2 linked regions of the Rhinolophus ferrumequinum genome follow. Each later gene encodes a partner of the first gene's protein in a complex. Links are inferred from orthologs where the notes say so. Each region holds a gene or a part of one and is shown on either strand. Other genes may lie near its edges.

Region 1 (7,687 bases):
CACAGAGGCAGACAGGGCCACAAACATACTCCCTTCCCGCAGAAACCACTGGGCGGGGGTGAGCTTGTAGGTGTTGGCCCCAGAGAAAAGCAGGTTGACTGTGTAGGCCACTCCTGCCAACAGGTCTGAGAGGGCCAGGTTGCCAATAAAATAGTACATGGGTCGGTGGAATTTCTTGGTTTTCCAAATGGTCAGCAAGACAAAGATATTCTCTAGGATGATAAAGCAGCAGATGAGAATGAACACCGCTGAAGTCACTTTAATGCCGTTCTCCTTGTCTGCACCTATATTCAGCTTTCCCGTGTAGTTGTAATGCCGGATGATGATGTCATAATTGACATAGTCGGAGACAGAGCTGCGGAGGGTCTTGACCAGCGGGATGCTGGTGGACCCCATGGTGCGCAGTGTCTCCGGGAACCGGAGGTGCCGCTTCTCCAGCGAACGCTAGAGGGCGACGCGGAGAGAGCCTTCGCTTGCTATCAGGGGTGATTCAATGAGAGAAATCCAGGCTTTTCGCGTATCTTTTTCTTGGCTGGAGAGGGCCTCGGAAACCGCAGCCTTAAACAAGTTACAGAGAGAGTCAGGGAAAAGCCACGACACACTTGCACAATTCATTCTAGCTAAGGCATTGCCTCAGTTTTGTTGATTTGTTTTAAGGAAACGTGGGGAGAGGGATTTAAAAAAACAATCAAATTCTTATTTCTTGCCAAAAAAAAAAAAAGGAAGGGGAAGAAAGGGAAAAAAAAAAAACACAGAAATTTTATCCAAACTGAAACTCCAACTCGACAAGATGAAAACTTTCCCTATGGTTAAGTCCACTCAAATGGAAATGAGAAAAGTGGAGGGGCGAGCCCCATTGAACCCCACTCCCACCTTGTCACTGCCCCCCTATCCCCACCCCGACAAGTTTGCAGCGGGAGAGTCTCAGAAGCATTCAGCTCCTCAACGTGGAGGGGGTGGTGGCGGCTCTGTGGAGGAGACCCAAATGCCAATACAAGGGTGAAGCCACACACCTCTGCCCCACCGCCACCACCCAGCTGAATGAGACCAGACCCACTTAACTGCCTAGCAAGAAATTAGATTGTCACGAAAATCATTGACGGCATTAAGTCATTTTGGGGCTCTATTAATAACTCTGGAAGCAGGTGCGGTTAGGGTCCGAGGGTGCAGCGTGGTGTGAGCAGCCAAACCCTCCCTGGCCTTGTGGTAAACAAGAAAAGTTAGCGCCTCCGGAAAGCAACAGCCTTTTCTTTCTTCTTCTTTTTCTTGCAAGCCAGTGCAAGAACACATCAAGGTACCCAGTGAAAACCATTAATGAGATATTGCAATAAATCCCAGAAGTTCTCCTATACTCCTGGATTGCATAAGGAGTATTTTTAGTTGCTGTGGGTATAGCCAACACAAAAAGAGAAGTTACACCACTTACGATAACAATACCTGTCACTACATTCCTAATGCAAGGGCAAAACTACTCTGCAGAAACTCACATAAAAGGACAACTGGTGAATTTACTGCCCTCCCCCAACACGTTGCCTCTTCTAGACAGTGTGCACCGAATGCAACGTGGCCCTGGTTGGCAGAAGTCTATTTGTACGTTGTTTAAGTCTTTCAAAGTAATGCAGCAATGGAATAAAAGTGGAGTAATAAAGGCGAGAGCGATCCCACCAATTCCTGGAACAGCAGCGGCTGCTCACGACCAGAAGCTCCCCTGTTTCCCCATCTAATTCCACACCCTGCTCGCCGGCAGTGCAAATTTAAGCCCTAACACCCCCGTCCCATATTCTTTGTCTGTAGGATTTCCAAAAATAAGCGCCTTCCCTCCCTCCACTCCAACCAAGCGCAGCTTCCACTATCGTCCACCCCCAGTCGATTCTACAATTGGGACTTGACCTTTTCCCAAACTTCATAAATCACAAGTGCCCAAGAGCAATCCCACCGCGCTGGGTTCCTTAGTAGCCCAGAGACGCAAGTTTTCAGCGCCCAGAAATGGATGTTTTAAAAGTTTTTGTTTTGTTTCGTTCCGGTTTAACAATTCCTTTCGGACACTGAAGCCCTGCGGCCGCACGGCGCCCCAGCCCGCGTCCCCTACCTCGCTCAGGCGGGACGAAGTTGCGTTCGACGAGCTCCGGGTCTGCACTGAGCGCTCGTCATCTTGCTGCTGCCGGTGCCTGACAGTGTCGCTCTCTAAACTTACTGCAGTCGGGGTCCCCTCCCTCCGCAGCCGCAACTCCATTGGCCAGCCCCGCTCGCTGCGGCGCGCGCCGGCCCGCCAGCTGAAGTCGCAGAGCGCCCGCTGACGCTGGGTGGCTTCTTTAAGAAGAGGCGGGAAGAGGTTAAATGCTTCAAACTCCCACGCCCTCCGCCTGCGGCTGGGGGCCCCCGAATCTCCACTGCTGAGACTGTCCAGGAAAGATCTGGGGCAGAAACAAATAAAAGAACCCCTCCCCACCCCCAAGCAACAAAAAAAGAGAGAAGGGGGGAGGAGAGAGACAGACAGAGAGAGAGAGAGACAGAGACAGAGACAGAGACAGAGACAGAGACAGAGACCGAGAGACAGAGAATCAGAGAGACAGAGAGACAGAGTAGCCGGGTGCCCCCTGGACTCTAATGTATAAATCAGGGCGGGCGCCCAGCTGTCCGCCGCTCCGGGCGGTGGACACCACTCTCTCCAGCCTTGGGAAAGAGAAGACTTGGAGAGCCTTTAGAAAACTTTCTCCCGAAAAGTCCTAGGGGCCAGAGGACTGCCCAGCGTCTCGCAGCGCACCTCCCTGGTCCCCTTGGGGAATCAGGCGGCCCGGGGCCACTTCTGCTCAGGCAGGGGAAACAGGAGCCCTGCCTTTCTCTGAGGAAAAGGCTGAGAAGGGGCTGCAGGAGGTTTGCGCGAGGCAAGCAGCCACAGTGGGAGAATAGCCGGAGAGGTTCCTCCACTGCTCCCCACCTCCACGCCCACCCCCATGCCGCTGCAGCCTGGAAACTTGCGATCTGAGGGACAGAAAGTGGCTTTCCCCGAGGGCACGGTGAAATGGACCGGTGCCGGGAGATGTGTTGGGCGGGTGTTCTCCTCCCTCGACTGGGCGCCAAGTCAGGCAGTTGCCCCAGATTCTAGCCAGTGGTGAGAGGCCTTTGAGGAGGTGGACAGTTGCTGGGTCCTGAGAGATTTTTGAAACCTTGTGCAGCTCAGGAAGTTCCAAAGGGGAAGAGCCACAGGGCCCAGCCCAGCTGGGGCGTGAGCCTTTTTTCCCCTTTATTAGGGAGGCGCCCCCAAACCTTCATGCTCAAAACTCGCCCACTCTTTCCTTTCGCTTAGATGCTACTTCGGAATGTGAGAATGAGAGGTGGCCTTGGTCAGCTCCCCTCCAGTGACAAGCTCAAAGCACTTCTGCCCTGCCTTAATGGGCAAAGACGTTTCCACCTAGTACCTTGGCTTCCTATCCCTTGCAGATGTGAACGCAAAACTTCGTTGTGCAGTTTCAATTGACACACACCCTGTATCTGAATGACTCAGAAGGAGTCTGCGTGAATAAACAGACCCCAGACTTCTGGGATCTTATGAGTTTGCAAAAGAAAAAATCAAGTGTCAGTTAATTCACAGCTGTCTGAAAGCCCTCATCAACGACCCAGCACATACCCACAAATACAACAAAAGTGCATGCAACTAGCCCGTGCATACAAACAAAGATCACAGACTCTAGGCTGAATTCTGATTGGGTTTGAGGATTTAATTCATTTGCAAGGGGAGATATGTTGCGTCAACCCAGCACAACACACCCCGTGGGACTTGTCAAACTCCACCCCATCCACTAATTTTATGAGTTCTTTAAAGGGAAAGGAATGAAAGTGAATTGCATACCCAGACTATATCAGGCGGCAGATAGATGATCTAATTTAACACTACTATTCTGAAGTAGCCATTGTAGGTCATTTTATTGATTAAGGGAAATGTCACTCAGACAGCTTAGCTAGATATCCTAGCTAGTGAGTGGCAGAGCAGGGTTCCAAACCTTAACTACTGCGGATGCCAGGACTCCCAGGTCACACTCCTTCAGTCAATAAACAGGGAATTGAAAGCTATGTTCCTGAAGGGAAACAAACCTCTAGCTTTACAGTTTTAAATTTGTACTAATTTCTTGACAATATATGTCTACAAAATGTATACAAAGATATGCTAATGAATGTCCTTTTAAAAACCACTTATTTCCTGATACAAAACACTTGCTTGTAAAACTTGCAACAAAAGTATACTAATGAATGTCCTTTTTTATTTACCATGAAGCATTTTCTCTTTGCTGAAATGTTTTACTAAATGTTATTTTAATTTTGATCACCTTTTTTATTATTAAGACTTTATTATTTTTTTTTTTTTAGAGAAGCTTTAGGTTTACAATAAAATTGACTGGAAAGGTACAGAGGTTTCCCGTATATCTTGTGCCTCCACACATGCGTAGTCTCCCCCTTATCAACATCACTTATTAGAGGGGTACATTTATTGCAATTGATGAACCTACATTACCACATCATTATCACCCAAAGTCCATAGTTTACCTTAGGGTTCATTATTGGGGTTGTACATTCTATGGATTTGGACAAATGTATAATGACATGTATCCAGCATTATGATATCATGCAAAATATTTTCACTGCCCTAAAAATCCTCTGTGTTCTGCCTACTTATCTATCCCACCCCCATGAATGCCTTTTTAAAACCACTGATTTCTTGACTATATACTCGTATGTATATAAAGTGTATACAAAGGTAGACTAGTGAATTTTTATAAAACCTCTCATTATCTACCTATAATATTTAATGTAAGAGTGTACTTCTAATATATGTGTACTAGATTCTAAGTGTTACACATATTTACTCATTTAATCATTATAATAACCTTATAAGTTAAGTATTATTCTTACCCTAATTTTACAAACAAGGAAACTGAGTCCCAGACATATTAAGCATCTTGGTTAATATGGGCTATGACCATAAATGGGCTACAGATTCTTAACCACTACTCCAAACCACCACGTTAAACCTCAAACATGTCAAAGAACTACATCAGCTAAGTCAGTCCTTTTCTTATGAATACGGTTGGGGAGAACAACATTTAAGATTGATCCAATGTTTCAAAGAGCTCAAATACTTTGTAGATGATTATTTAGTAACACGCGTCCTTAGTACACACCTAGGAGATATAAAGTGTAGATGACCACTCAGGCAAAATTAGAAAGGAGGCAAAGCTATTTGCAGAGATGGTTTCCCTGCCAATTCCAAACCACGGGGTCCCACACATTTCTTCCCATTACTTGCAGGAGTGGCCCTAAGAATTGCATCCTCAAGTTATCTCCTGGCTGCTAGCCTAGCTCCCTGTCCACGGTTGCCTGGAAGCCAAGCCCAACGTTTCTAGCTTATTTCCTATGGTATTGAGATTACTATTTGATTATGCAGTGACACTGAGGTTGCTCCATTCCAAATTTCTGATTGCAAAGCAGATTTGCTATTCTTTGGTGTCTTTGCACATTGTTCTTTGCTTGCTTTGATGTTTCTCTAAGCGTTGCCAGAGAAAATACCATACAATATTTGGGACTTATACTAATATGCATACATACTGAGGGTGCCAAAAAAATGTTTGCAAGTAGACACTTTTGTCAATGTTGCTCAAGCAGTAGTTTACCATAATCAGAAGTGCTGATGGTAACCACTTTGAGAAACTCTTGTAATTGCAGATGTCAAACATGACTTGTATTCATCTTTTGTTATTGGTATATATTGAGTGTTACAATTTTAGTACCATTTTCCTTTCTTAAGATGTGTATACATTTTTTTTTGGAGATATATATATGTCTATATATATATATATCTATATATATGTCTATATATATGTCTATATATACACATTTGTTGTTTATCTGCAATTTAAATTTAACTGCGTGAGCTGTATTTTTATTTGCTAAATCTGGTAACGCTGCTCTTTTTCCTAAATGCTCTAGTAATGTTCCAACTTCCTCTCCTCCCCGCAACCCCCTGTAAAGAGCCAATGCTCCCCTTACTCATTTATTCACAGGAGAATAACTAGCCTCCTACTTCGCAGAAAAACCATTATCACCACTTCAATTTCCCTCCTCTCCAACTTCTAGCTTAAAAATGTCACCCACTCTTACCTCCTTCCACAGTTTTACTCCTTCCCAGGGCGAACTCTTGTACATATCACCATGCTCCTCCCCACAAACTTTCTAAGGCTCAGCTCAATTATTCCTCCTCTCTCTTGTATTTTCAATTCTTGGCCTCTTGTGACTCTTTACCTTCAACTTATGTTACTATCTTTGCATTTCCTCTGTCAAAAACTCGCTGTCTTCCCCTTGTACTAGGTGCCAATATAAATCTCTCTCTCTTCTCCTGTTTGCCAACATTCAAAACTACATAGTGGAACGTGTCCGACTTGGGTTCAGCCTTAATACTGCCAATTCCCAGCGTGACTTTCAGCAAGTTCTTTGAACTTCCTTGAGCCTTAGTTCCCTCATCTCTAAAATGGTATAATGATATTTCTCTCTTTCAGTCATTGGGAGGAATAAAGAGCTTCATATGTATAACAAACCCTGTACAGCATAGAGTAAATGCTTCACTCTCCCCCTACCTCTATCTCTAACTCTATTATACTCATTGCTTTCAATGCCTCAGTTTCCCTTCACTCCCATTTTGATTTTCAAATAAAATTATTTTAATCAAATTGTTACATGCACATGGTTTAAAAATCAAGTAGTATAAAACTTGCAAGAAAGAACATGAGTCAATCCTCAGAGGCCCCCTGGTCCTCTAATTCTCCCAAGTACTTTGAAGTCTTATTGATGTTTCTTCTGGTGGTTACTTGAAAATCTTAAAATCCCCTGTTTTATACCTCTGTTTCTTGATTATCAATTTTAAACAGCATCTATAGATTTTCTGCCATGTGGAAAGAGTATTAATTCACTTATCCTTAAAAAAAACATGCTTGTATTATAAACTTTCTAAATCTTTGCATGTCTGACATTTTAAAAACTCACTGTTTACACTTGACTCATATTTTGGCTGAATATAGAGTTATACTTTATAATTTTCTTGGGGAATTTTGAAGACAGTGCTCCTTTTTCCTTTAATTTCTGGTGCTACTGATACAAAGCCTAAAGCTCTTCTGATTCCAAAACTTTACATATGACTACTTTTTTCTTTTCTGAACATTTTTAGAATTTTCTTTCCCCATAGTGTTCCAGGATTATACAATGATATGTATTGATTTTCCAAGCTCCCTCATACACACACTGACCCTTTACAGTGTGGGAAATCATCTGAAATTACGAGATGTGATCAAATAATACGGTGAATGTTCAACTTTAAAAAAATTATTACAGTAAAAGACACATTGCCATAATCCCTCTCAAAATACCCTGCCTCCCTACTCTGAACACACTTATTGCATTATTCTTGCCGCTTTCTGAAGGAGTTTTGGAAGTCCTCTTTTGTGAGTGTCTTTAGTTGCACTGTCATGGCTGCCTTGATGTCCTGAATCAATTCAAAACATTTACCTTTCATGGTCATTTTGACTTTGGGGAACAGCCAGAAGTAGCACAGTGCAAGATCTGATGAATAAGGTGGATGAGAACACACCATAATGTTTTTATTTGACAGAAATTGCCTTATACCAGAAGCAATATGTGACAT
Region 2 (7,618 bases), on another chromosome or scaffold:
CATAGCAGCTTTATTTTTAAGAGCCAATTCCTAGAAATAACCCAAATGACCATCAGCAGGAAAAATGGATAAACACATTATGCTATATCCACACAAGGAAATTCTACTCAGTAACCAAAAAAAAAAAAAAAAAAGTTGATTGTAAAATATCCAACTACAGTTATACACTGTATATTTCAATTTATTTGACATTCAAGAATAGTTGTACTAAACTATGGTGACAGAAATCAGAAAAGTGATTGTTTTATGTGTGTAGCAAGGGTAGTTTGAGTGGAAAGGAACAGGGGAACTTTCTAGAGTGATGAAAATTTCAAATATTGATTGAAGTTGCAGTTGTAACTCATTAAATTACATTTGGAATCTATGCATCCCTTGTATGGAAATTCTACCTCAATTAAAAATGATATGTAAATGGATAAAATATTTGAATTTTTGAAGAGAAGCTAAAATAATAGAAGAAACATAACAATATTATAAACCAAATATTGGGTGGAAGTTTCATTTATCCTCTGTATAATGTTGAAACAAAGTAAGACTTTGATTTCACCAATAAGAAATATTTTTATAGAAGGATTTAGAATATGAATATAATGTGAATCACGAATCTTAGTCACACACACAAAAACTGGAAGAATATCTGTTTTAGAATATAAATAAATAATTGAGAAAGGAGAGAAGGGGATTTTGCGACTCAGAGTTTGAATTTCAGTTTTTGTTAGGATGAGCTATCAGGATTTTTACAATTTGCCGCACAAGAAATATAGAGTTCTCAATTGTGTTCTCTAAAAATGAAATGCAAAATTGCTACTTGAATGATATTAAGATTTACCATAAAAAAGCCTCACAATGCAAAAATATCTTGTCTTTCAGTATGGATGACTTTCATAATTAAAAGCATGTATCTTGAAACGCATGTATTTTTTGCCTTAAAACACTTCTCTAAAGTTAAACTGAGCAAAGAGATGTTGCTTTCTTTCATAGTAATTTACCATGTACTGGATCTCAGCATCAGCTTTTGCTTCTTCTGGGAATTGTCTTTCCTCGCGTAGATCTGCATTTAGATTTCCCAAGAGATGCCTTTACTTCCCTCCCACGTAGTTCTATTTCTTTCAGCTTCTCAAAACTAATCTTCCCTTTTTCACTGGTATACAATTGTCACCAGAAACAGACCTTGGTAGATAGGGTAGCAAGTTCGGAGCTCTTTATCTAGTTTCACTTCTCCTCATGCTGCTTAGACTCAATGCAGCTCTCATTCCTGAGCCAGTACTAACTCATACAAATACCTCATGTACTCCAAAGCCTACGTCAATTTGTTGGCTGACATTGCCCATTATCCAATGGGTAAACTGTGGGGATGATTCTCAGATTATATTTTATATCCATTAGTGAGGGCTATTGTTACTCAGTTTGATTTATCACCTAGGTGACAAAACACTCCCCCAACAGTATACTTCCGCTCTGATTATGGGCCTTGTCCATTAATGGAGAAATTGGAAATAAACCCACCCTTACATATTGAGTTACCAAAGGGTGATGCCTAATGATTGTCCATACAAATGAAGCAAGGGCAGCATAAACTAAGCATTCAATACAAAATTGGGATGATCTAAAGAAAAGTTAAGAATTCCTGAATTAGGTCATTCTTCTTTCAACTATGCCCTCTGTTTATTGAGTAGTTTTATTATTATAATTGTTGCTCTTTTTAGCAGCTCATCTGGGACATAAAGTTATGGTTACCTAATTACCAAAAAATTTGTGTGGCTTGCACTTGTTATCCACAAGTGATTTTGTGTTCTTAAGTTATAGATGGGTTTATTGGAGGTAATTGAAGCTTTTCTGATGCAAAGCAGTCTCGTAGACACATACTTCAAAAACAATGCCTTCCTCTAGATTGTTTCAGCTCTGCTGTTCATAACACATCCCTTTAATACTGTATAGCTTTCTTACAAATAAACTCCACTTCCTACATGCTAGGTTTGGGGGTACCTCAATAAGTAGAGAGGAAGAGGGATAAATGAAAAAAATCAAGGAAGTCTCACAGAAACAAGTTAAAGGAAAACAATGGAAAAATTTTGGTAATAAGAAATAGAACAGGTCTATGGATAGAATAGACAAATAGAAGAGAGGAAAAAGTATAGCATTGCTAAAATGATCATATTTTGATGAAAAATAAAAGAAAGAATAATGTCTCATTTATGCAGAATTTGAAGTCAGTGATTGGAAAGGTGAGAGAGAAGGATGAAATGGAACTAAAGAGTCCTGTAAGAATACAGAGGCAGAAAATGTCATTTTCAAGAATTGTTTCATGACATTCTCCTGATAAATTATTGTTGGACGCTGTACATGTTCAGATGCTCATATGGCTGCTTTCTCAAAGATTGGAAACCTTCATTTATAGCAACTGGAAAATGCTGTCATGAGAACGTAAGATAAGGCACACAGGAAACACACAAAGATACAAGGTGAAGGCAATCAAGAATGTAATTGTTTATGTGGAAAACAATTTTTGTGAAGAGAGGCAATGTTTCCTGGAGGAGTTGGATATGGAAAAATGATGGAGAGTGTACTGTGCAAGTACAGGGAATTTTCTAGTTAAATCTGAAAAATTGAGAAGGAATAAATGGAAACAAAGAAACAGATCTTTGAATATCTTCTAAAATTCTCCTTTCTGTTTCCCTCTATTCTCTGGAATCATATCTTCTCATATATGAAGAAATATATAATTCTTATCATTTTCTCTTTTATCCTGACTGAAATAGGATGTAACTAAGTTCTTGAAAAGACAAAGCCTCATTTTCTTCCCTAAGTATTGTTATATATCATCTGTATAGTTAGATAGGTAGTTATTACCAGTACATAAAAATAAGATCTGACTTACTTTGTTGTCCTCTCTCCAGATGCAAGGAGCTGTTCTCTGTTAGGGAACAATCTTCCGAATTCATCTTTATTCTAGTCAAGAATCTCTGGTTAATTTCAGGTAAAGCCAATCTACAATGAAAGTCTTTGCTGGAGCTCTTGCTCAGTGTCTGAGCCTCTGAAGAATCTGAGCATTTATAGTCAGTTATGTTTTCCCCACCCCCTTCCTCTTGCCTTCCAATCACTCAACTACTCCTGTTCGCTTTAATTTATGCTCTAGTGGCCCAGACAATTTACAATGTGTTGTTGTGGTGAGCTATGGGTTTTCCCTGCTGTCTGAAATATGCTTTCTCACAACTGTAGGTGTGGTATGCACAGACAGATGGGATTTTCCCGAATCGGTGACATCCTTCCTTAAATTTGTAGAAAACAAAACATAGTTATGAAGACAGCATATCTAAGTAAAGAATTAACAGTTAGGGATTCTTATCTTTGAGATGGAAATAATTTGGAGAGTAATATTTCCCTGGAATCCCATTCTTGCATTTATTTTACTAATATTTATTGAGCATCCACTATGACCCTGACACCGTTTGGGGCTAGATAATTTATCATTGAGTACAAATTTTAAGATCTCTATCCTCATGGATCTCTCTTCAGTGTGGAAGAGTTTTCTTAGGAAGCTATAAATTGGCTTTCAGAAGTTTGTCATTCACTTCTTCCCTGGGGACCAGTTCTTTTTTTTAAGGTATCATTTGGTAAGTAGCTGCTTTAGTGCAGGAAATAGAAACCCTGTGGTCTGGAACTTCCTTTCTATGTTCTAAAATTGTTTATCTTGAGTTATCTCTTTCATTTACCTCCTGTTAATTTTTTTCATACTTTACTGTCATTTAGATCACTCTTATTTCCCCTCAGTTGTATCTTATTCTGCTGTTTTTTCCCTATCTTCTGGATTATTTTTTTATACTATACCTCTGAAGTTTAAGACATTTGTATATAATTACTATAAAAATATATTGCCATGTCAATATCATCCAGATCAGTTATTAAGCTCAACACAAAGTGAATGTAGAACACCCACGTACGATGATTTAAGGAGGGGATCAAAATGTCACTCTGGTTAATAATCTTGGTATGAAAATTTTATCATTAAGATGATTTCTTTAGAGTAAAGACACTCTGTTTTCAGAATAAAGCCTTTGTGAAAATATTATGCTTAGCTGGATTGTAAATTATCATTTGTTATTAGTTAGTTAGGCCATCATATTTATTTGTTTACCTAAGACATGAAGAGGTACATGTTGGTCCCAAAGGCTTTCTTTGCTTCCGTTCTATTTTTCAGTCAATTTCCTAGAATGTTTTACAAATAGCAGCTAAAAGTTTTGTTATAATTAAATGAAATCATTTTGGTGAGATGTTCAACTCTTCCCCCTTCCATCCTCAAATGCTTCTTATCAAACCTTCTTATAGTTGAGGAGGTCCATGATCTGGCCCCTGGCTACCTCTCCTTCCATTTTTCCTATTGGCCGCTTCTCTCTCTAACAGTAACTTCTTTGCTGTCTGACAAAAATGCCAAGTATTCTCCCACTACAGGGTCTTTGCCTTTTCTCTAAAAGGTTCTTCCTTCATCTGCTTGTATGTCTTGCTCTCCCTTTAATTCAACTCACTGCCCAGAGAGGTCTTCCCTTGCCTTTTATATGTAAAATAGAACCTCATACTCTATGTCTCCACATACTATTATCCTTTTTTACCTCACTTGTCAATATCTGACATTATATTATTGCTTGTCATCTGTTTTCCTTATGAAACTATAAGCTGCTTGGGGGCAAGGCCTTTTTCTGACTTGTCCCATCTGTCCCTAACACCTGACGTAATAACTGGAACTTAGCATATACTCAGTACAAACTTGTTGAATGAGTGAATAAATAAATAAATATGAATTAATGAAAGAACATATATATATATAAACATAAAAGTTACAAAATATAGAGTGTTACTTGGAGAGGCTTGTGGGATTGTAGGGTTCAGAAAATATGACTTTGCAGTGTCACTGGATAGCAAGTGCACACTTGAGTACTGCTGATGAGTGCTGAAGGAGTTCAGTTTAGTACTTAACGGAATAGCTGATGCTTTTGCTAATTTCTTTGGGTTAAAGCAACTTAGATCTTTTAAGTGTTTATTTATCCTTCTACAGTTGGGAGATCTGGGTTCTTATCCACACTCTGACACTAATTTTGCACACTGTATTGTGAAGAATGCATGAGATAATATCTCTGCTATAAATCTGTAACATTTTTTTAAATCTTCCAAGTCTTGGGGTGGGGTGGAGTGGTGGGGAGGTGAGAGAGAGAGAGAGAGAGAGAGAGAGAGAGAGAGAGAGAGAGAGAGAGAGAGATAATCCTTATACACACTGACAATCCTTACCATGTGTTGTTGCCACATGCAAAGCAGGACTTTTCAGCAGCTGATTGGGCTAACATAGAAATCATGGTCCAGTTATACCATGTACTTTTTCCCGCTGATGATTCCCATGTAAGTGTGAAAATTAATTTTCTTAGCTGGACACAAACTAGCTTTGAAGTTTGAATATTCCAGAAAAGTTAGGCAGGTTAACTTAATGAAAATAGTACAGTTTTTACAGAGAGATAACCATCTCCCACAAATTTCCCTCTACTCCCTATATAGGCCAGCGATGTTGACCTTCATTCTATTCTTTGACAAAGCTAAACTTATTTTTATTTTATAGGGTGTTTTCTTGCTTTTGTTCTCCCTGCTCTCAGATTTTTCCAATTTTAGTATATATGCTGCCGAAGCGAGCACTGATTTTTCATAGCTAACTGTTCTTGTTTATATTCACTTCACATGTTCCACCTCACCAGAACTTTCCACCTGTATAAAACTTCCTATTAGTCACAATTTATTACCTCACTCTATTCTTTATAGAACATATCATCATTAGAAATCTTGTAGTTCATATATTTTATATATCTGTATTGATATGTATGTGTGTGTATATATATACATGTGTATATATAAAAATCATCATACACATGATGATTTTTAAAACCATATATATATATATATTTAAAACCACATATATATATTATACATATATATAATATATATATATGTGGTATATATATGTGTTTTTAAAAATCATCATTATTATTTATTTCCCTACCTAGAAAGTAAGGTCTTTAATGCAGGAGTATGGCCATGTTATTCAATAATGAATCTCTAGTACTTGTAATAGGGACTAGAACATAGGAGTTCAACGAGTAGTTGTTGGGTGGATACATGACACAATGTATGTGAATATCGACTCAAGCATTTGTTAACTGTGAGCTTTGGGAAACTAACACAGCTCCAGGGAACATTGGGTTTATCTGTAAATGAAACTATTAGTGTCCAATTTATACTTTTTTTGGTGAAGAAAACATTATAAATTAGAAAATTAGTTTTCTACCACAGTGACTGGTATATATTAGGTATATCTAATGATATGTAAAGAAATAGCAGTTTGATACAAGTCATGAAAAGGGAAAGTTCCTCATTTGATGTAGGGCACTAAGAGATAAAACTGAGAAGCCACAGCATAATTTCTGATATGGTGCAGCATGGCTCTAGTCTGCCTAGAATACAGACAGACAGAAGAAGCTGCAGTCTCCTACAACCACCTCTGACAGCTTTCATGAAATTAAGATACTTGCTTATGTGCTCAAGCTTTCTTGCTTCTTCAGCCCCAATCAGGTGGATAAATATTATATATATATATATATATATATATATATATATATATATATATATATATATGTATACCGGAGGTGCCAAAAAATGTATACACATGACTTGTATCCATCTTTTGTTCTCAGTATATATGGAGTATTACAATTTTAATACATTATTTTTCCTTTCTTAAAATGTGTATTTTCTTGGCACCCATTGGGCACAGAAACATATCTAGAGAACTTACTGTAAGAAAATAAATATCTTTAAACATTATTAAATTGATCAAAATCTGTTACCTTTGTTCTGAAATCATTTTTCTCTATCTGTCTTTATGGGAGCAGCCAAAGTATTTTGTTGAAATCAGCACTTGTGTAGTTGGGAGTAGGCAGACACTGCAAACATAAAAACCAGTCAAATTCTCAGGAATATATGTTATCAGTAGGCCTACTAGGTATCCACTGGCCCTCATGTGGTTCAAGTCCTCTACAATAGCCTAAACTTTATTTCAAAATGAATAAATTGTTCATTAATTCTCTCTTCTCTCCCACAGTCATTTTTCAAAGTGTAAGAAACCTCCCTTAGATTTGGGGAAGCAGTCAACTTTAATTCCTGTAAAGCTGTGAACAATAATAGGGGTTGCCCAACACGGCCCTGGATGACACCCGTTGTCCTGATATAATTATTAAAAGCATGTCATTTCACTTGCAAGAGTGTCTTTCTGTCACAATAATTTATATGCTCACATTACTAATCAGTGTTTGTTATATGAAAGGAAGCTATCTCTACGTGTGAAATTATACAGCAAATAGGACAAAGTAAAGTGTAGAGGGTCAGGAGGCAGTGTACGAGAGATTTTGGGGTCAGAGGGTTTTTCAATTGTCCCTTATTCATCTAAAAATGGAAACAAACTTCTTGTGTGGTCAGCCCTGATAGATTCAGTTCTCTAAAGCAAAGAAACACATGTATTGAACTGAAGAAACAAAACCAGTGCATATAAACTCTTTTCAATCTTCTTATAAAACACACGTGGCAA

Evidence for each region. Proteins that work in one complex are often made in the same cells at the same time.
Region 2: the proteins of S1PR1 (region 1) and CD69 are in contact, whole or in part, in a cryo-EM structure (PDB 8G94), measured with the Homo sapiens proteins. The link is inferred for Rhinolophus ferrumequinum from reciprocal best matches to the Homo sapiens genes S1PR1 and CD69. Residues at the interface, in NP_001307659.1 of Homo sapiens: Asn157, Leu160, Phe161, Ile164, Ser165, Trp168, Val169, Leu172, Ile173, Gly176, Ile179, Met180, Gly181; in NP_001772.1 of Homo sapiens: Val41, Ala44, Val45, Val48, Val49, Thr52, Ile53, Ile56, Ile59, Ala60, Val63.

What each region holds. Positions count from the first base shown.
Region 1 is NC_046305.1:36,520,377-36,528,063, reverse strand, and holds the start of S1PR1 (sphingosine 1-phosphate receptor 1), read right to left. Parts: upstream 3,020-7,687; 5' UTR 2,765-3,019; intron 2,311-2,764; 5' UTR 2,090-2,310; intron 559-2,089; 5' UTR 397-558; coding exon 1-396.
Region 2 is NC_046293.1:25,602,062-25,609,679, forward strand, and holds the start of CD69 (early activation antigen CD69), read right to left. Parts: upstream 3,012-7,618; 5' UTR 2,943-3,011; coding exon 2,879-2,942; intron 1-2,878. UniProt on the Homo sapiens protein: Transmembrane protein expressed mainly on T-cells resident in mucosa that plays an essential role in immune cell homeostasis.